Saccharomyces cerevisiae S288C: one gene and its partner. Changing the gene in region 2 together with the main gene of any one other region gives a genetic interaction. Each region holds a gene or a part of one and is shown on either strand. Other genes may lie near its edges. The genes, in order: YDC1 and HXT17.

Region 1 (8,582 bases), on a different chromosome or scaffold from region 2:
CATATGAATGACTCAAAGTCCATCGATGACGTTGACGAATTAATTTGGACAATTGGACGTAAATCCCATCTAGGTATGGGTTCAGAAAATGTAGGTATAAAGCTGAACTCTCATGACCAAATAATTGCTGATGAATATCAGAACACCAATGTTCCAAACATTTATTCTCTAGGTGACGTTGTTGGAAAAGTTGAATTGACACCTGTCGCTATTGCAGCGGGCAGAAAGCTGTCTAATAGACTGTTTGGTCCAGAGAAATTCCGTAATGACAAACTAGATTACGAGAACGTCCCCAGCGTAATTTTCTCACATCCTGAAGCCGGTTCCATTGGTATTTCTGAGAAGGAAGCCATTGAAAAGTACGGTAAGGAGAATATAAAGGTCTACAATTCCAAATTTACCGCCATGTACTATGCTATGTTGAGTGAGAAATCACCCACAAGATATAAAATTGTTTGTGCGGGACCAAATGAAAAGGTTGTCGGTCTGCACATTGTTGGTGATTCCTCTGCAGAAATCTTGCAAGGGTTCGGTGTTGCTATAAAGATGGGTGCCACTAAGGCTGATTTCGATAATTGTGTTGCTATTCATCCGACTAGCGCAGAAGAATTGGTTACTATGAGATGAAGCAACGAAACTAGACGTCCAATCTGCTGTTGCTATACTGGACTTTTGTACTCTTGTAAACAATCTTATATAGCATCCTGAAATACGTAGTAATTTTGTCATTTCTGTTCAAGGACAAGGGTTCCTTTTTTTTTCAGACTATTAGCTACTGTGGACTCGCTTGGATATTCAGTTGAGGATACATTCCGACTCTCGTTTACAATACATATGATTATTTTTCTTTTTGTTAATTATATAAAAAATAAAGTTATTTGATTTTAAGCTTAAAAATACACAAAATACAGAATAAGAAAGGAGTTTTTGAACAAAAGAATTTATCTTTTACTGCTTTCTAACTTTAAGCCTTCAAAGAAGAAGCTCTTCTCTTTCTGATTTCAGCCTTCTCAGCCTTTCTTTCAGACAATCTCTTAGCCAACAATTGAGCGTATTCGGCAGCAGCTTCTCTTTGAGCTTGAGCGTTTCTGACCTTCAAAGCTCTTTGGTGTCTCTTTCTTTGCAATCTTTGAGGAGTAACCAATCTTTGGATCTTTGGAGCCTTGGTGTAAGTCTTTTCACCCTTGGTGACTTCTCTTCTGATGACGAAATCACGAACGTCATCTTCCTTGGACAAACCGAAGAACTTTCTGATGTTGTTAGCTCTCTTTGGACCCAATCTCTTTGGAACAGTAGTGTCAGTTAGACCTTCCAATTCTTGCTCACCCTTCTTGACAATGACCAAAGCCAAGACAGCCAAATCTGGACCAACAATGGCACCTCTGACGGACTTTCTCTTTCTTTCACCATCACGTCTTGGTCTGTAACAAGAAACGTTCTTGGTCAACAACAACTTGATTCTAGTTGGCAACAAAACACCTTGCTTCATTGGGAAACCTTGTTTGTCGTTACCACCAGAGATCTTGAAGACGTAACCCTTGAATTCGTCACCAACGGCTTCACCATCGACTTCTTGACCGATTCTCTTGTCGAAGAAAACACGAATACGGTGTTCATCATCAATTTCGAAGGTCTTTTGAGACCCGTTAACTGGGTAAGAAATGTTCAACTATTTTAAATTTTCAACAGGTTATTAAGAAAATTTGTTAGTATACTATTGCAAAATTAATGTTTGAATAGGGTGAAGTTTATTACTCTAGAGAAATTATTAAGTGGAAGATGAAAAAGCTTGTCTTTTATTGACTATACTCCAAGTATATGAACTGCTTCAATTTCACGGTTTGTAGTAACAGTATATGTAAACCCGCTCTGTTTGTTTAAAAATAACGCCACAAACGCATCAATTAGTATATGGTAGTCTTCCTGCTTCTTTCCATAAAAAATTTCTAAAATCTTTACGACGTCTGGTTCTGTTTAGTTCTTTCTCACTTTCAAACTTTCATGCCATTTTTCCACATATAAAGTTCTCTGTTGCCCCTCAATAATAGTATCATAAATCATACCTTCATGATGTATAGTCTGTCTTCACTCTTTTGTCACTTCTCTTAAGCAAATATAAAAATTCAATGACGAATAAGCATTAACCACTTTATCCTTGGTAACACTGTATATGAAATTTCAAAGAAACTGCAGCATCATGATGTTCCTAGACGTCGGTACTGGAATTCCCACCCAGTAGACTTACCTAGGTAGCGGCATTCCTCCAACGCTTACCAGGAGAGATAACTTTCCCGCTAGAATCGATAGAGGAGCGTGGAATTACGCCAATCTTCCAAGTGGGAACGGGCAGAGTGTCCAGTGGCTTCCTGCCTACAGAATGCACGGCCCCAGTGGGATTGGTGCAATCGCGCACGTTCCAACTTTCCGATGCTCCGGCGCGTCGATGACAATTTTACACATGAAAAACGAACTATGTAAAAATAGTTGAAATGTATGGGTTCAATGAGAACTCGAATGTACGGATGTTTTCTCTGAATGAACCTCTTGTCTTCTTCCGGCTTCTGCTTACATCAAACTCCAGGCCAGGCGGCAATTCATTTTAGTTGCTAATGCACAAAAGAGTACTTAAATACTATCATTATTCAGAAAATGCAATTGAGTTTTTCGTTTTTCTTCCTTGTTTGGGTTATTCACTACGTAAATATGTGCATTTACAATAATATAAATATAAATTTTTTAAATGAAAAGAAGTTTCTTATGCTTGGAATATTCATACTGGTCAAATTTTTTGGTTTATATTTTGCTTGAATTTTTTTCTCCTGAAATATCAGTCGAAAAATTAAAGAATTTAGTGCCTAGTGGTGTTTGAGCAGTATTTATGTATGGAGTCAGCCCGGTATTTCCATTATATGCGGTGGCAGCAGCATCATATGTACTTGAGTTGGACTGATTGTTCGAGTCACCATCGGTAGTATGTTCTGAAATAGCAGCTCCATTTACGGGTGCATCTTCATTATTACTATAGTAACTGTTATTGCTATTGTTACTGTTATTGTCGTTGCCGTTGTTGCTGTTGTTGTTGCTGCTGTTGTTGTTGTTATTGTTGTTGTTGTTGTTAGTGTTGTTAGTGCTGCTGATATTGCTGGAGTTGCCGTTGTTTACGGCCGTCTGTACGGGAGGGAAAGTACCAGGATTGTTTGTGTTTCCCGGCTTGGCACTGTTGGGTCCCATTGACCAGTCTGGAAACATCGATATAGAAGAAACATTTGGAGAATTACTCATCAAATCATGTACGAACTTCGATGGCAGTGAACCAGTTGGAGGGCCATTGCTGGTTTCAGGGCCGGAAAAAGTTGAAGGGGGGCGTCCGGTTAATGTTGTAGTTAATGGTACTGTTTGGCTCTGTTTTTTGAAAGACATTTGTTGGTATTGCTGGGTTTGTCTTTGAGCTAAAAAAGATGTATTTTGTTGGAAAGGTCCGCCAGGAATATTCGATGGTTGCAAGGGAGTGGCAATGTATGGCTGTGTTGCAGAAAAAAGAGGTGAAGACCCACTTCCGAAAGGATAAGGGTGATTGTTATTGTTACTGCCATTACCATTGTTAGAACCGTTAGGCGCATTTGCATTTGGCAATTTTATTACCATTCTGCCATTATTACCTTTTTGGAGAGTTAAGGGGCCTGAGGCAGATGCGGATAGTGGAGAAATTTTGCTAGACCTACTTGTTTTGTTTTCTTTCATTATCTGCGAAGAGCCCATACTATTGCCGTTGGCCGATGTGGAGGAGGCAGAGGAGGGTTCACTTGGAATAGCGGAATTACTGCTGAAATTGTTGTTCGGAATTCTCACACGAAGTACCGGTCTGGCGGACAATTTCCTTCTTGCTTTGACAGTCTGCTGAATAGAGTCTTCCAAAGAATTAGATGGTGACTGAGTGTAGTTGCTGTTGTCATTATTATTGCTGCCACTATTGTTAATTTTGTGCTCCTGTTTAGGGGTCCTTGAGGATGCATTTGTAAATGGCTTACTGAACTTGTTCGGTGAAATGGAAATGGGTGGAGGACGACCATTAAAGGAAGAGTTTTGAAAGCTTGGTAATTTTGGAAAATCCATCGTGGAAGGAGAAGATGAACTGGATGAAGGCTGGTTAAGATTGTACATGCTACTATGGTATGGTCTCGATATATTTTGCTGCTGTTGCTGTTGCGGAGTTCTACTTATTTGCAAAGGATCCGGTTTCAATCTTTTCAAATGTTGTAAAGGCGGCAGCGCGTTCTCAGGATGACGTTTATTTTGCTCACTACCATCCATCTTTGAAATGAGTGCGGTCGGGGATAACAACTTCATGTGTGCACTCGGTATATTTTTATCAGAGGCTTTTTTATTCGAATGCATATTTGAATTCCTCTCAAAATTGCCATGATCATCGTCGTCCTCATCATTGTTCTCATCATCATCATTTTCTGACTGGTTCATTCCTTTAACATTTGATTTCGAAGGCTTATTTGACATAGACGACCTGAGTAGGTCTTGATTTATGTTAACGGATGCACTTTTGTGAAAGTCTCCATAATCGGAAGGATCTTTCACTTCGTGAAGCAAGTTTTTGTCATTTTGGTAGTGATAGATTAAATCATTCGTATCCACAGAGGAAAACTCATAGAACGTGTTATTGGACCCCAGTATAATGACGGCTATGTCTACTTGACAAAGAACGGATAGTTCATGGGCCTTCTTAAAAAGGCCAGCTTTACGTTTTATAAACGTGACAGCCCTATTTCTGTCATCAGAAATTCTCTGGATTTCAATCTTCCGTCTACCCATGTTGTATCTATAGTATAGTTTTGCGACACTTTAATATTTAAGTTTTTTTCACGCTTCAGCCTGTTTGCTCCGGGGGATATTAACCTCACAACGTGATAGAAACCTTGAAAAAAAAAAAGAATAATTCTGCTTGCCAGCTTTCAATTACTTTAACGAGTCAAAAGTTGAGTTGGCTATCAGGAGTAGGCAGTTCTAATTGAATCAGTCGTTGAACACTTTAGAACAGGCTCGCTTCTTTCTTACGTTTCTTTTTGTCTGTCCTTTAATTATTATTGTTCAGAGGAAGATCGAGCTGTTTCTATTATTAGCTTTCATCTCTTCCGTTTTATTTTTATCAGAAATCTGAAGTAAATTTTTTTCTTTCTTTCTGCGGCTTGGCATTCATCACCCGGTGATGCTGCGCCGTTAAGAGAGCCCAATAATGATAAGACGATTTCTGCATTTAATATACGACTGAGACAGACTTCGTCACCGTGGAAGTATTTTTTGCGAACGTGGAAGTATTTCACCCACGTATGGCAGGCAAGAACGCATTTTCAATAACGTTATTTCCACGGAAAAATGTGATTAGTGTAGTAGGTTAGGAACGGGAGATAACTCGGCCGCTTGGTTTGAATTTGTTTCCCTTCGATTTTGTTTTCATTGCTTGAGTAAAAGAAGCTAAGCTAACATCTGCCTTATTCTTCTCAGCCTTTTCGTATATATATATATATATATATATATATTAGGACCCAGAGAACAAGGTATCATATATTAATTGTCTTGCCAACTATGTAATTTGGCTGTTACGGAAGACCCACATCAGGCGGCAGAAATGGTTTTAGTTAAGCAGGTAAGACTCGGTAACTCAGGTCTTAAGATATCACCGATAGTGATAGGATGTATGTCATACGGGTCCAAGAAATGGGCGGACTGGGTCATAGAGGACAAGACCCAAATTTTCAAGATTATGAAGCATTGTTACGATAAAGGTCTTCGTACTTTTGACACAGCAGATTTTTATTCTAATGGTTTGAGTGAAAGAATAATTAAGGAGTTTCTGGAGTACTACAGTATAAAGAGAGAAACGGTGGTGATTATGACCAAAATTTACTTCCCAGTTGATGAAACGCTTGATTTGCATCATAACTTCACTTTAAATGAATTTGAAGAATTGGACTTGTCCAACCAGCGGGGTTTATCCAGAAAGCATATAATTGCTGGTGTCGAGAACTCTGTGAAAAGACTGGGCACATATATAGACCTTTTACAAATTCACAGATTAGATCATGAAACGCCAATGAAAGAGATCATGAAGGCATTGAATGATGTTGTTGAAGCGGGCCACGTTAGATACATTGGGGCTTCGAGTATGTTGGCAACTGAATTTGCAGAACTGCAGTTCACAGCCGATAAATATGGCTGGTTTCAGTTCATTTCTTCGCAGTCTTACTACAATTTGCTCTATCGTGAAGATGAACGCGAATTGATTCCTTTTGCCAAAAGACACAATATTGGTTTACTTCCATGGTCTCCTAACGCACGAGGCATGTTGACTCGTCCTCTGAACCAAAGCACGGACAGGATTAAGAGTGATCCAACTTTCAAGTCGTTACATTTGGATAATCTCGAAGAAGAACAAAAGGAAATTATAAATCGTGTGGAAAAGGTGTCGAAGGACAAAAAAGTCTCGATGGCTATGCTCTCCATTGCATGGGTTTTGCATAAAGGATGTCACCCTATTGTGGGATTGAACACTACAGCAAGAGTAGACGAAGCGATTGCCGCACTACAAGTAACTCTAACAGAAGAAGAGATAAAGTACCTCGAGGAGCCCTACAAACCCCAGAGGCAAAGATGTTAAGTTAGATTTTCATGGGCCCACTGATATATAGAAGGCTAAATAACGAGAATCATATATACTGTAACATGACACCTGCTGATTTTTACTGATCGTAGCCATTCGGCTCATATTACTTCATGTCCCTTTTTTAAATCCCTCGTTCCCGGAGAGTGGCATAGCATGTCCGATAGCGTACGCCAACCTACAGAATCAGGGGATCAGATTTCCTGAAAGCAACTTATCCATCAGTTTCTTTTTATAATGCCATAATGACAGGTGTGCCTTTCTTATTTTACTTCGCTTGCTTTCTTTCTATTGCATGCTTCAATCTTTGAATATTTGCTAATAGTGAAAAAAAAAAAGGAAATAACTATCTGGTTTATCTGCATTGTTCTTCGTTTTTCAATTCAAGAATTTAAGCAAAAGGATATATCATAGAACCTAGTGAATTTTTAAGAAAGTAAGATAAAGAAAAAAATCAAATGCTGTTCAGCTGGCCTTATCCAGAAGCCCCGATTGAAGGTTATTGGGGCAAGCCAACTTCTCTGATTGATTGGTGCGAGGAGAATTATGTCGTATCCCCCTATATTGCAGAATGGTCAAATACTATTACCAATAGTATATTCTTAATGACCGCCTTCTATTCTACATATAGCGCTTGGCGTAATAAGTTAGAAACAAGGTATATATTGATAGGAATGGGGTTCTCGCTGGTTGGTATTGGTTCGTGGTTATTTCATATGACTTTACAGTATCGTTATCAATTGCTAGACGAACTACCAATGCTGTATGCGACCATCATCCCATCGTGGAGTATTTTTGCAGAAACTCAAGAAATCTTGATTAAGGATGAGAAGAAAAGGAAGGAAAGCTCATTTAGAATCCAAATGGTCATTTCTTTTATCATGTGTGGTATAGTCACCATTTTAACCTGGATTTACGTTGTCGTCCAAAAGCCAGCAATTTTCCAAGTCCTTTATGGTATATTGACGCTTCTAGTTGTGGTTCTTTCTGGCTGGCTGACCTACTATCACGTTCATGATTCATTTGCAAAGAAAAATCTTTTTATTACTATGGTTATGGGCATGATTCCTTTTGTCATTGGGTTCATTTGCTGGCAACTAGATATTCACCTGTGTTCTTTTTGGATCTATATCCGGAGAACATATTTGGCCCTGCCATTAGGTGTTCTATTGGAACTGCATGCTTGGTGGCATCTTTTGACCGGTACTGGTGTCTATATCTTCGTCGTGTATTTGCAATATTTGAGAATATTAACCCATGGAAATCCAAATGACTTCTTATTTATATGGAGGTGGGGATTTTTCCCTGAGCTGGTAAGAAAGGGCTTACCGATTGGTACTTCTTATTCACTGGAGTATCTGGGGCCAATTGTAAATACACAGGTAGATGATGAAACAAAAAAGAATAACTAAGGAGTGATTTTGTGCCATCCATTTGAATCTTCAAAATATATGTACGTATATGTTATGTATGTATATAAATTGTTGTACGTGCAATTGACCGAACGTGTATATTTGTATATAGATATGTGACAAACTAAAGAGCTTACACTTCGTTCCTTCCCTTCTGTTCACCTTTTTTTATTATGCCTGACTATTCTAAAATTTATGTTTATGTGGCGTAAAATATCTTTCTTCTGAAAACACATGCAGCAGTTACTCCCATCATAAAAGGAATTAATAAATGAATAGTATAAACAATTATTTACTTAAATATATTTAAATTTCTGCTTGGAAAACCGGCCATGTCGGCGGCACATAAAAGTTCTATTTACCTTTAAATTCTTTTCGACATGTATGGACCGTCTAGTTCATATCCTAGTTTACCATAGTAATTTCTTACACCAACACCAGAAATAACAGAAATTTTCTCTGAACCATGCTCTTCCTTGGCGATTCTTTCCGCTTCTTCC
Region 2 (9,147 bases):
ATCTATAATGGTGAGCAAGATGTTCATTTCCCACATTTGACAGTAAAACAAACTCTAGATTTTGCTATTTCCTGTAAGATGCCCGCAAAAAGAGTCAATAATGTAACGAAAGAAGAGTATATTACTGCCAATAGAGAATTCTATGCTAAAATTTTTGGTTTGACGCATACTTTCGATACCAAAGTTGGTAACGATTTCATCAGCGGTGTATCTGGAGGTGAGCGTAAACGCGTTTCCATTGCTGAAGCATTAGCAGCGAAAGGTTCAATTTACTGCTGGGATAATGCTACAAGAGGTCTTGACTCTTCTACCGCGCTAGAATTTGCACGAGCTATTCGTACTATGACAAATCTGTTAGGTACAACGGCCCTTGTTACGGTTTACCAAGCCAGTGAAAACATTTATGAAACTTTTGATAAAGTCACTGTTCTATACGCTGGAAGACAAATATTTTGCGGCAAAACTACTGAAGCAAAAGATTATTTTGAAAACATGGGTTACTTGTGTCCACCGAGACAATCGACTGCTGAATATTTGACCGCAATTACTGATCCTAATGGTCTGCACGAAATAAAGCCTGGCTTTGAGTATCAAGTACCTCATACCGCTGATGAATTCGAAAAATACTGGCTTGATTCCCCAGAATATGCCCGCCTAAAAGGTGAAATTCAGAAGTACAAACATGAAGTGAATACTGAATGGACCAAAAAAACATACAATGAGTCTATGGCACAAGAAAAGTCGAAAGGTACAAGAAAAAAATCTTATTATACGGTCTCTTATTGGGAGCAAATTAGACTTTGCACTATTAGAGGTTTTCTAAGGATTTACGGTGATAAGTCATACACCGTTATCAACACATGCGCTGCTATAGCACAGGCTTTTATCACTGGGTCATTGTTCTACCAAGCACCTTCTTCAACTCTAGGGGCCTTTTCTAGAAGTGGCGTTCTGTTTTTTTCCCTCTTATATTATTCTTTGATGGGTTTAGCTAATATTAGTTTCGAGCACAGGCCAATATTGCAAAAACACAAGGTCTATTCACTATATCATCCCTCAGCTGAAGCGTTAGCAAGTACGATTTCTTCTTTTCCATTCAGAATGATTGGTCTAACATTTTTCATAATCATCCTGTACTTCTTAGCCGGTTTGCATAGAAGCGCCGGTGCTTTTTTTACTATGTATTTGTTATTGACAATGTGTTCAGAAGCTATTACAAGTTTGTTTCAGATGGTTTCATCTTTATGCGATACATTGTCCCAGGCCAACTCCATTGCCGGTGTTGTGATGTTATCTATTGCCATGTATTCGACGTACATGATACAATTACCTTCAATGCATCCATGGTTTAAGTGGATTTCGTACATTCTACCCATTAGATATGCATTTGAATCGATGTTAAATGCAGAATTTCATGGAAGACATATGGATTGTGGTGGCACTTTGGTTCCTTCTGGACCTGGGTTTGAAAACATCTTGCCAGAAAATCAAGTGTGTGCTTTTGTTGGTTCAAGGCCTGGCCAATCTTGGGTCCTAGGTGATGATTATTTGAGGGCCCAATATCAATATGAGTACAAAAATACTTGGAGAAACTTCGGCATCATGTGGTGTTTCTTAATTGGCTACATCGTCTTGAGGGCGGTTTTCACTGAGTACAAAAGTCCTGTCAAAAGTGGTGGTGATGCTCTGGTCGTCAAGAAGGGCACAAAGAATGCTATACAAAGATCATGGAGCAGCAAAAATGACGAAGAGAACCTTAATGCCTCTATAGCAACACAGGATATGAAAGAGATAGCTTCAAGTAACGACGATAGCACAAGTGCAGACTTTGAAGGTTTGGAATCTACCGGGGTGTTTATTTGGAAAAATGTTTCTTTCACAATTCCTCATTCTAGCGGACAACGTAAACTTCTGGACAGCGTAAGCGGTTACTGTGTTCCTGGTACTTTGACAGCATTAATAGGTGAGTCCGGCGCTGGTAAGACCACATTATTAAACACTTTGGCTCAAAGGAACGTGGGAACGATTACTGGTGATATGTTAGTTGATGGTCTCCCAATGGACGCTAGTTTCAAAAGGCGTACCGGTTATGTTCAACAGCAAGATCTTCATGTTGCTGAACTTACTGTCAAAGAATCGCTACAATTTAGTGCTCGTATGCGTCGGCCACAGTCTATTCCTGACGCTGAAAAGATGGAATATGTTGAAAAAATTATATCTATTCTTGAAATGCAGGAGTTCTCAGAAGCTCTTGTCGGCGAAATTGGTTACGGCTTGAATGTTGAACAGAGAAAGAAACTATCAATTGGCGTTGAGCTAGTTGGCAAGCCGGATCTGTTATTGTTTTTGGACGAACCGACCTCTGGCTTGGATTCCCAATCCGCGTGGGCCGTCGTCAAAATGTTAAAAAGATTAGCTCTAGCAGGTCAATCAATTTTATGTACTATTCATCAACCATCAGCTACTCTTTTTGAACAGTTTGACAGATTATTGCTTTTGGGAAAAGGCGGTCAAACAATTTATTTTGGTGAAATAGGTAAAAATTCAAGTTCTGTCATTAAGTATTTCGAAAAGAACGGAGCCAGGAAATGTCAACAAAATGAAAATCCGGCAGAGTATATTTTAGAAGCCATAGGAGCTGGGGCCACCGCTTCTGTTCAACAGAACTGGCCTGATATATGGCAAAAATCTCACGAGTATGCAAACATTAACGAAAAAATAAATGACATGATTAAGGACTTATCTTCTACAACTTTGCATAAAACAGCTACAAGGGCCTCTAAGTATGCAACATCGTATTCCTACCAATTCCATCATGTGCTGAAAAGATCCAGTTTAACATTTTGGAGAAACTTGAACTACATCATGGCCAAAATGATGTTATTGATGATCAGTGGCTTGTTCATTGGTTTTACCTTTTTCCATGTGGGTGTAAATGCTATTGGATTACAAAATAGCTTATTTGCCTGTTTCATGGCTATCGTTATATCAGCTCCTGCAACAAACCAAATACAGGAGCGTGCTACCGTTGCTAAGGAGCTATATGAAGTTCGTGAGTCCAAATCTAATATGTTTCATTGGTCTTTACTTTTGATTACCCATTATTTAAATGAATTGCCTTACCATTTATTGTTTTCAACAATTTTTTTCGTTTCATCATATTTCCCTCTGGGTGTCTTTACCGAAGCCTCTAGGTCAAGTGTTTTTTATCTGAACTATGCCATACTTTTTCAACTTTACTATATTGGTCTTGCTTTAATGATTCTGTACATGTCTCCAAATCTACAATCTGCCAATGTTATTGTAGGTTTTATACTTTCGTTTTTGCTCTCTTTCTGCGGTGCTGTCCAACCTGCCTCTTTAATGCCTGGTTTCTGGACATTCATGTGGAAACTATCCCCTTACACGTATTTTTTGCAAAATTTAGTTGGATTATTGATGCATGACAAACCCGTAAGATGTTCAAAGAAAGAGTTGTCTCTTTTCAACCCCCCGGTAGGCCAAACATGTGGTGAATTTACCAAACCGTTTTTTGAATTTGGGACTGGGTATATTGCAAATCCAGATGCAACAGCAGATTGCGCCTATTGTCAGTACAAAGTAGGTGATGAATACTTGGCGCGCATAAATGCTAGCTTTAGTTACTTATGGAGAAACTTCGGTTTCATTTAGGCTTATATCCTTTTCAACATTGCCGGTATGATTGTGGTTTATTACGTTGTTCAAGTTAAGCATTTTTCCCCTATGAAAATTGGCTTCGTAAAAAGAATAACAAGTAAATTTAAGAGAAAATGAAGAAAAAAATTGCAGGTATACTATGGGTGCAGGTGAGGCGGTTTTTTAACCGATTTAGCACACGATACTGTGAATTTTGGGTTATATGATGATGTGAATATTGCAGAAATGTAATGTTATATTATTCAAAGAAATAGGGTAACTTCTATTTATGCAAACATTGGTAATCAAGGCTATAAACACATAATCCCAAATAAGTATTTTGGTACACAGTTGATGTTTCTTTATGAATACGACTCATTAGTTCACTGTCAAATTGCCAACGTTCAGAGGGACCTACTTACAGAGCGTATGTTTTATATTTACGACGAACGCGATCTAATTATTATCCGCTGGTTAAACAGCGTAATAATGTTCATAGGGGCCTTGCATGACATTTGAATTTGAACATTACTAGAGTTCGTGAAATTTTGTCAATGAAAAAATAATGTGACAAACGTCTGCAAATAACCTGAAGAATTTTATCCGGGATAACGACAAAGCGTTAAATATAGAAACATAGTGAATGTACTGCTAGGAAAAAAATAGGCATAATTTAATCTTTATTCATATAAATGTTTTTACCAGAACTCTCTTGGTAGATAGTTTTGATATACGGTTTCCTGCTCAATTTTAGTGAGGCTGGGACGTAAAGTATTTTTTTCAAATAAACCATTTCTTGTTTCTACCTTTTTAGTACGGATTTTTTTTAGTAAGTTCTGTATTCTTTTTTAAGAGTAAAAAATATTCAGACCCCAAACTCACAAAAAGCCTACAGAGTCCGCCTGTTACGCTCAATTTAGTACTACCACTTGTGATAATATTTATTTTGGGACAGGTCCAAAAACTTTTAGGTTTAAACGTACAAACGTTGAGTTTAATCTAGATCATATATCATTATAAAGGTTTTATCTACAAGCAAGTGAAGAAACGTAACAAACGTAAAAAGCTTCAGCCTCACCTAAATATCGAATTTGTACTGAGTCTTTGAAGTGTATACCTCGCCGCGCTTCAGAAGAACACAACCTCTCCACTCATCACGGTTGATAGCATCAACGTATCTACCTTGCTGAACGGCAAATCCAGACCTTGGCACAAATTTGCCACATAAATTATCACCGGTGTACAAATGAACGGTTGGTTCTGTCGTCGAAACCTCAAATTTGATGTGAGATTCGGGATGATAGGCCTTAAAAACAGGAACCAATTTGTTGACACTCACAGAATCTGTAGTCTTCAAATCCTTGTTAGCGTCAATAATGAAAGTGCAATCAAAGACCGGAGTATCTTCATGCAAAACGGTGGGCTTAGTTGAATCAAAAGTAGCAATGTTCCTTTCAATGATCTTACCAGTTGGAAGCAATGCCCCCTCTGTAACTTCAAGCGATTTGTTCGAGCAGACCTTAACTTCTGTACCACGAATGGACTTCTCACTCTTGACTTTGTTCAAGTTAAAATACGAGTGGTTGGTCATATTAATTGGAGTAGCATCACCACGAACTAACTGTGCTTGGTATTCCATGTCTAAAGTCATTTCTGCAACATTCAAAGTGTACTTCACTGTGACTTCCAAGTCACCTGGAAACTCGTTAGGGTTGGGCTGTGTGTGATCATCCAACAATTTAAATTCAACAACGTAAACGCCCTTGGAAGGATTCTCAACAGGGGACGCCTTGTACTGCTTAAGATTTAAGGAACTGATACTGCTGTGATTTGTGTTACCACAATTGTTAACAGTTAACTTGTGAGGACCATCATCCAGGCTGAAAACACCCTTGGCGATACGGTTGGCATAACGACCAACTGTAGCGCCCATCATGTTACCATCTGTTAAATAGTCTTGTACGTTTGAATAACCTTGAACGACTGATTGGCCGTTTACCTTCAGGTCTACCAAAGTTGCACCAAGTGGCGCAATGGTAGCTTGGAACTTTTTCTCATCACCAATTGTAATGACACCATACTTATTATCACCGTTACTATTTGACATTTCGCTGTTTGTTATCTGTTTTGATTTTTTTTTTCACTGCTTATCATACAAACTGATCAATTGAGCTATCAAACTTCAACTTATCTCTGTATTTATATGCTGAAAGTATAGAGTGTACATAAAAATGTATCACATGTCTATTACATATTACGACACCCCCACAATATTTTAACTGATCTTAATAACACGGGGTAGGAAGTTTATTTCATCATACCACTCAATGAGCTAAGCTGCCAAAGGCTCCTGTTCACTTCCTTGTGGTTCGTAGGCTATTCAGTGGCAACGTAATAAACAAGAAAAGAAAAAATTTCAACACCTTTATTCTAAATGTTGTCAGAAGTAATTATAGTGGGGGTATTGCAGATGTAAATGAAATACGACGTACTGTGGGGGGCTTTTCTTTTTCAAGAATCCTAAACTATTCCAATGGGATTGCGTGATTATGTTTCGTTAGAGTTTTTTTCTATATCTCCGTTCTTATTTCTTAAGTCCGCCCCTTGCTGTAACCAGCCCGGCTATTATTTGACGAATTTTTCACATCTTCATTCCTTGCCGAGAAAGAAGCTTTTGCCTCCCTGGGGTTATTATAAAATATATCTGACGTCACTGGTTTGCAGCCAAAAAGTTTAATTATTTTAACTTCAAGGGTTCGTTTCGGAGTAAATAGTCAATGCACAAAATAGGAAGGTGGAGGTGGGGTATGCATTTTTGTGCATAGAGTGGCGGGGTATTAAGAATAATGCACATATAGGCACATAGGCACAAATGCGTGGGATGACTTGACTGTGCAAAGACCGTTAGCAACCTAGAATGTGGAATAGTATCCCAAATGATGACGTAAACGTTCGAGGATAATATTAGATAATATAATATTAGTATCCTCGTCTAAAAACAGGCAAAATAGCACGGAATCTATTCAAAAGAAGGCGGCAAGCAGTATCAATTGAGATAAGTGTATACGAACGGTGAAACCTCCTTGGCACAGAATTTTATCGTTCAAGTGGTAGGATAGCATTGCTGCCATAACACCCTCCTTAATCACAGGATAATATGGTGAACGAGATATATAAAGCGATAAGTTTAGGTGTGATATTTTTCTTTCGTTGTGCAAGTGTTGTGTAAATTCTTTCTCATTTGATAAATCAAAAAAAAAAAAAAAAAAAAGAAAAGAAAAGAAAAATTAATAAAATGCAATCATCCACTGAAAGTGATAGAGATATTCAGGATGGTCCTGATGCTGATATTCACGTCGCACCACCCGTGGAAAAAGAGTGGTCAGATGGATTTGATGACAACGAAGTCATAAACGGGGATAACGTTGAGCCACCAAAAAGAGGGCTCATAGGTTATCTTGTCATTTACTTATTGTGTTATCCAATATCCTTCGGGGGTTTCCTGCCTGGTTGGGATAGTGGTATCACAGCAGGTTTCATTAACATGGACAACTTTAAAATGAACTTCGGTTCTTACAAGCATAGCACTGGTGAATATTATTTGAGCAACGTGCGTATGGGTCTTCTTGTGGCTATGTTCAGTATTGGATGTGCCATAGGTGGTCTTATTTTTGCCCGTCTTGCTGATACTTTAGGTAGAAGGCTGGCAATTGTAATCGTGGTGTTGGTATATATGGTTGGTGCAATTATTCAGATCAGTTCGAATCACAAATGGTACCAATACTTCGTTGGTAAGATTATCTATGGTCTTGGTGCTGGTGGCTGTTCGGTGTTGTGTCCAATGCTTTTGTCTGAAATAGCTCCTACAGATTTGAGAGGTGGACTTGTCTCATTGTACCAACTTAACATGACCTTCGGTATTTTCTTGGGTTATTGTAGCGTTTATGGTACGAGAAAATACGATAACACTGCACAATGGAGAGTCCCACTTGGGCTTTGCTTTTTATGGACTTTGATTATCATCATTGGTATGTTATTGGTTCCAGAGTCCCCAAGATATCTTATTGAATGTGAGAGACACGAAGAGGCCCGTGCTTCCATTGCCAAAATCAACAAGGTTTCACCAGAGGATCCATGGGTACTCAAACAGGCTGATGAAATCAACGCCGGTGTCCTTGCCCAAAGAGAACTAGGAGAAGCTTCATGGAAAGAACTTTTCTCCGTCAAAACTAAAGTCCTTCAACGTTTGATCACAGGTATTCTTGTGCAAACCTTTTTGCAACTTACTGGTGAAAACTACTTTTTCTTCTACGGAACTACCATTTTCAAATCAGTCGGTCTTACTGATGGGTTTGAGACGTCGATCGTTCTAGGTACAGTGAACTTCTTTTCCACTATTATTGCTGTTATGGTCGTAGACAAAATTGGCCGTCGTAAATGTCTTTTATTTGGTGCAGCTGGGATGATGGCTTGTATGGTCATATTTGCAAGTATCGGGGTGAAATGTCTTTACCCTCATGGCCAGGATGGTCCATCCTCAAAAGGTGCAGGTAATGCCATGATTGTGTTCACTTGCTTCTATATATTTTGCTTTGCAACGACATGGGCTCCTGTTGCTTATATTGTGGTTGCCGAGTCGTTCCCTTCGAAGGTCAAATCTAGGGCCATGTCGATTTCGACTGCATGCAACTGGTTGTGGCAATTTTTGATCGGGTTTTTCACACCATTCATTACTGGGTCTATCCACTTCTATTATGGTTATGTGTTCGTAGGTTGTTTGGTTGCAATGTTTCTGTACGTTTTCTTCTTTTTACCAGAAACGATTGGTCTATCTTTGGAGGAAATCCAATTACTATATGAAGAAGGTATAAAACCATGGAAATCTGCATCTTGGGTCCCACCTTCTAGGAGAGGTATTCCTTCCGAAGAAAGTAAGACCGAGAAGAAGGATTGGAAGAAATTTTTGAAGTTCTCAAAGGGTTCTGATTGATCATAGAGTGCATATGCTTGTCTTGATAGGCAACATTGTATATTATATTTTACATAATAATGTGTAATTCTAATTTGTCACGAATTTATGAAGATTCTTGGAGCTATGAAGATCAACATATGTAGAAACTGGTATGTGTCATAGGTAAAAAGTATTCATTAAGACAAAATTGTGTCTAATTCTTAGTCATTTATTCAATTTTTTTTTTTTTTTTTTACGTAAAGCGGGGTGGAGTGACATGATATGGTGATGGTGATGAGAAACTCTAAATGGATCCATTTGACTATCGATTGAAAATCATGAAAGATGCGCTTGAAGGAACATAACACGTTACTATTTGTCTAAATAAAACAATATACAAAAATACGACATTATATATACTCTACCCAAGATATTTAGTCATTACTATCGAGGGCGCGTAGATCAGATCACCTTTAAAATCACACTTGGTCTAAAATTTCCTTAATAGCGGCAATTGGCCCTTTATCATAAACTGTTTC

Evidence for each region.
Region 1: mutations in HXT17 (region 2) and YDC1 together harm fitness more than expected from each alone (negative genetic interaction), as found in Saccharomyces cerevisiae (one large-scale study listed by BioGRID).

The regions. Positions count from the first base shown.
Region 1 is NC_001148.4:376,327-384,908, forward strand, and holds YDC1 (alkaline dihydroceramidase), read left to right. Parts: upstream 1-7,128; coding exon 7,129-8,082; downstream 8,083-8,582. Other genes in the region: glutathione-disulfide reductase GLR1, read left to right, coding at 1-627; 40S ribosomal protein eS6 RPS6A, read right to left, coding at 965-1,669, 2,064-2,069; RLM1 (Rlm1p), read right to left, coding at 2,794-4,824; YPL088W (aldo-keto reductase superfamily protein), read left to right, coding at 5,639-6,667; Elongator subunit ELP3, read right to left, coding at 8,447-8,582.
Region 2 is NC_001146.8:765,705-774,851, forward strand, and holds HXT17 (hexose transporter HXT17), read left to right. Parts: upstream 1-6,952; coding exon 6,953-8,647; downstream 8,648-9,147. Other genes in the region: ATP-binding cassette multidrug transporter PDR18, read left to right, coding at 1-3,672; YNR071C (aldose 1-epimerase superfamily protein), read right to left, coding at 4,736-5,764; MAN2 (putative mannitol dehydrogenase), read right to left, coding at 9,088-9,147. UniProt on the Saccharomyces cerevisiae protein: Probable glucose transporter.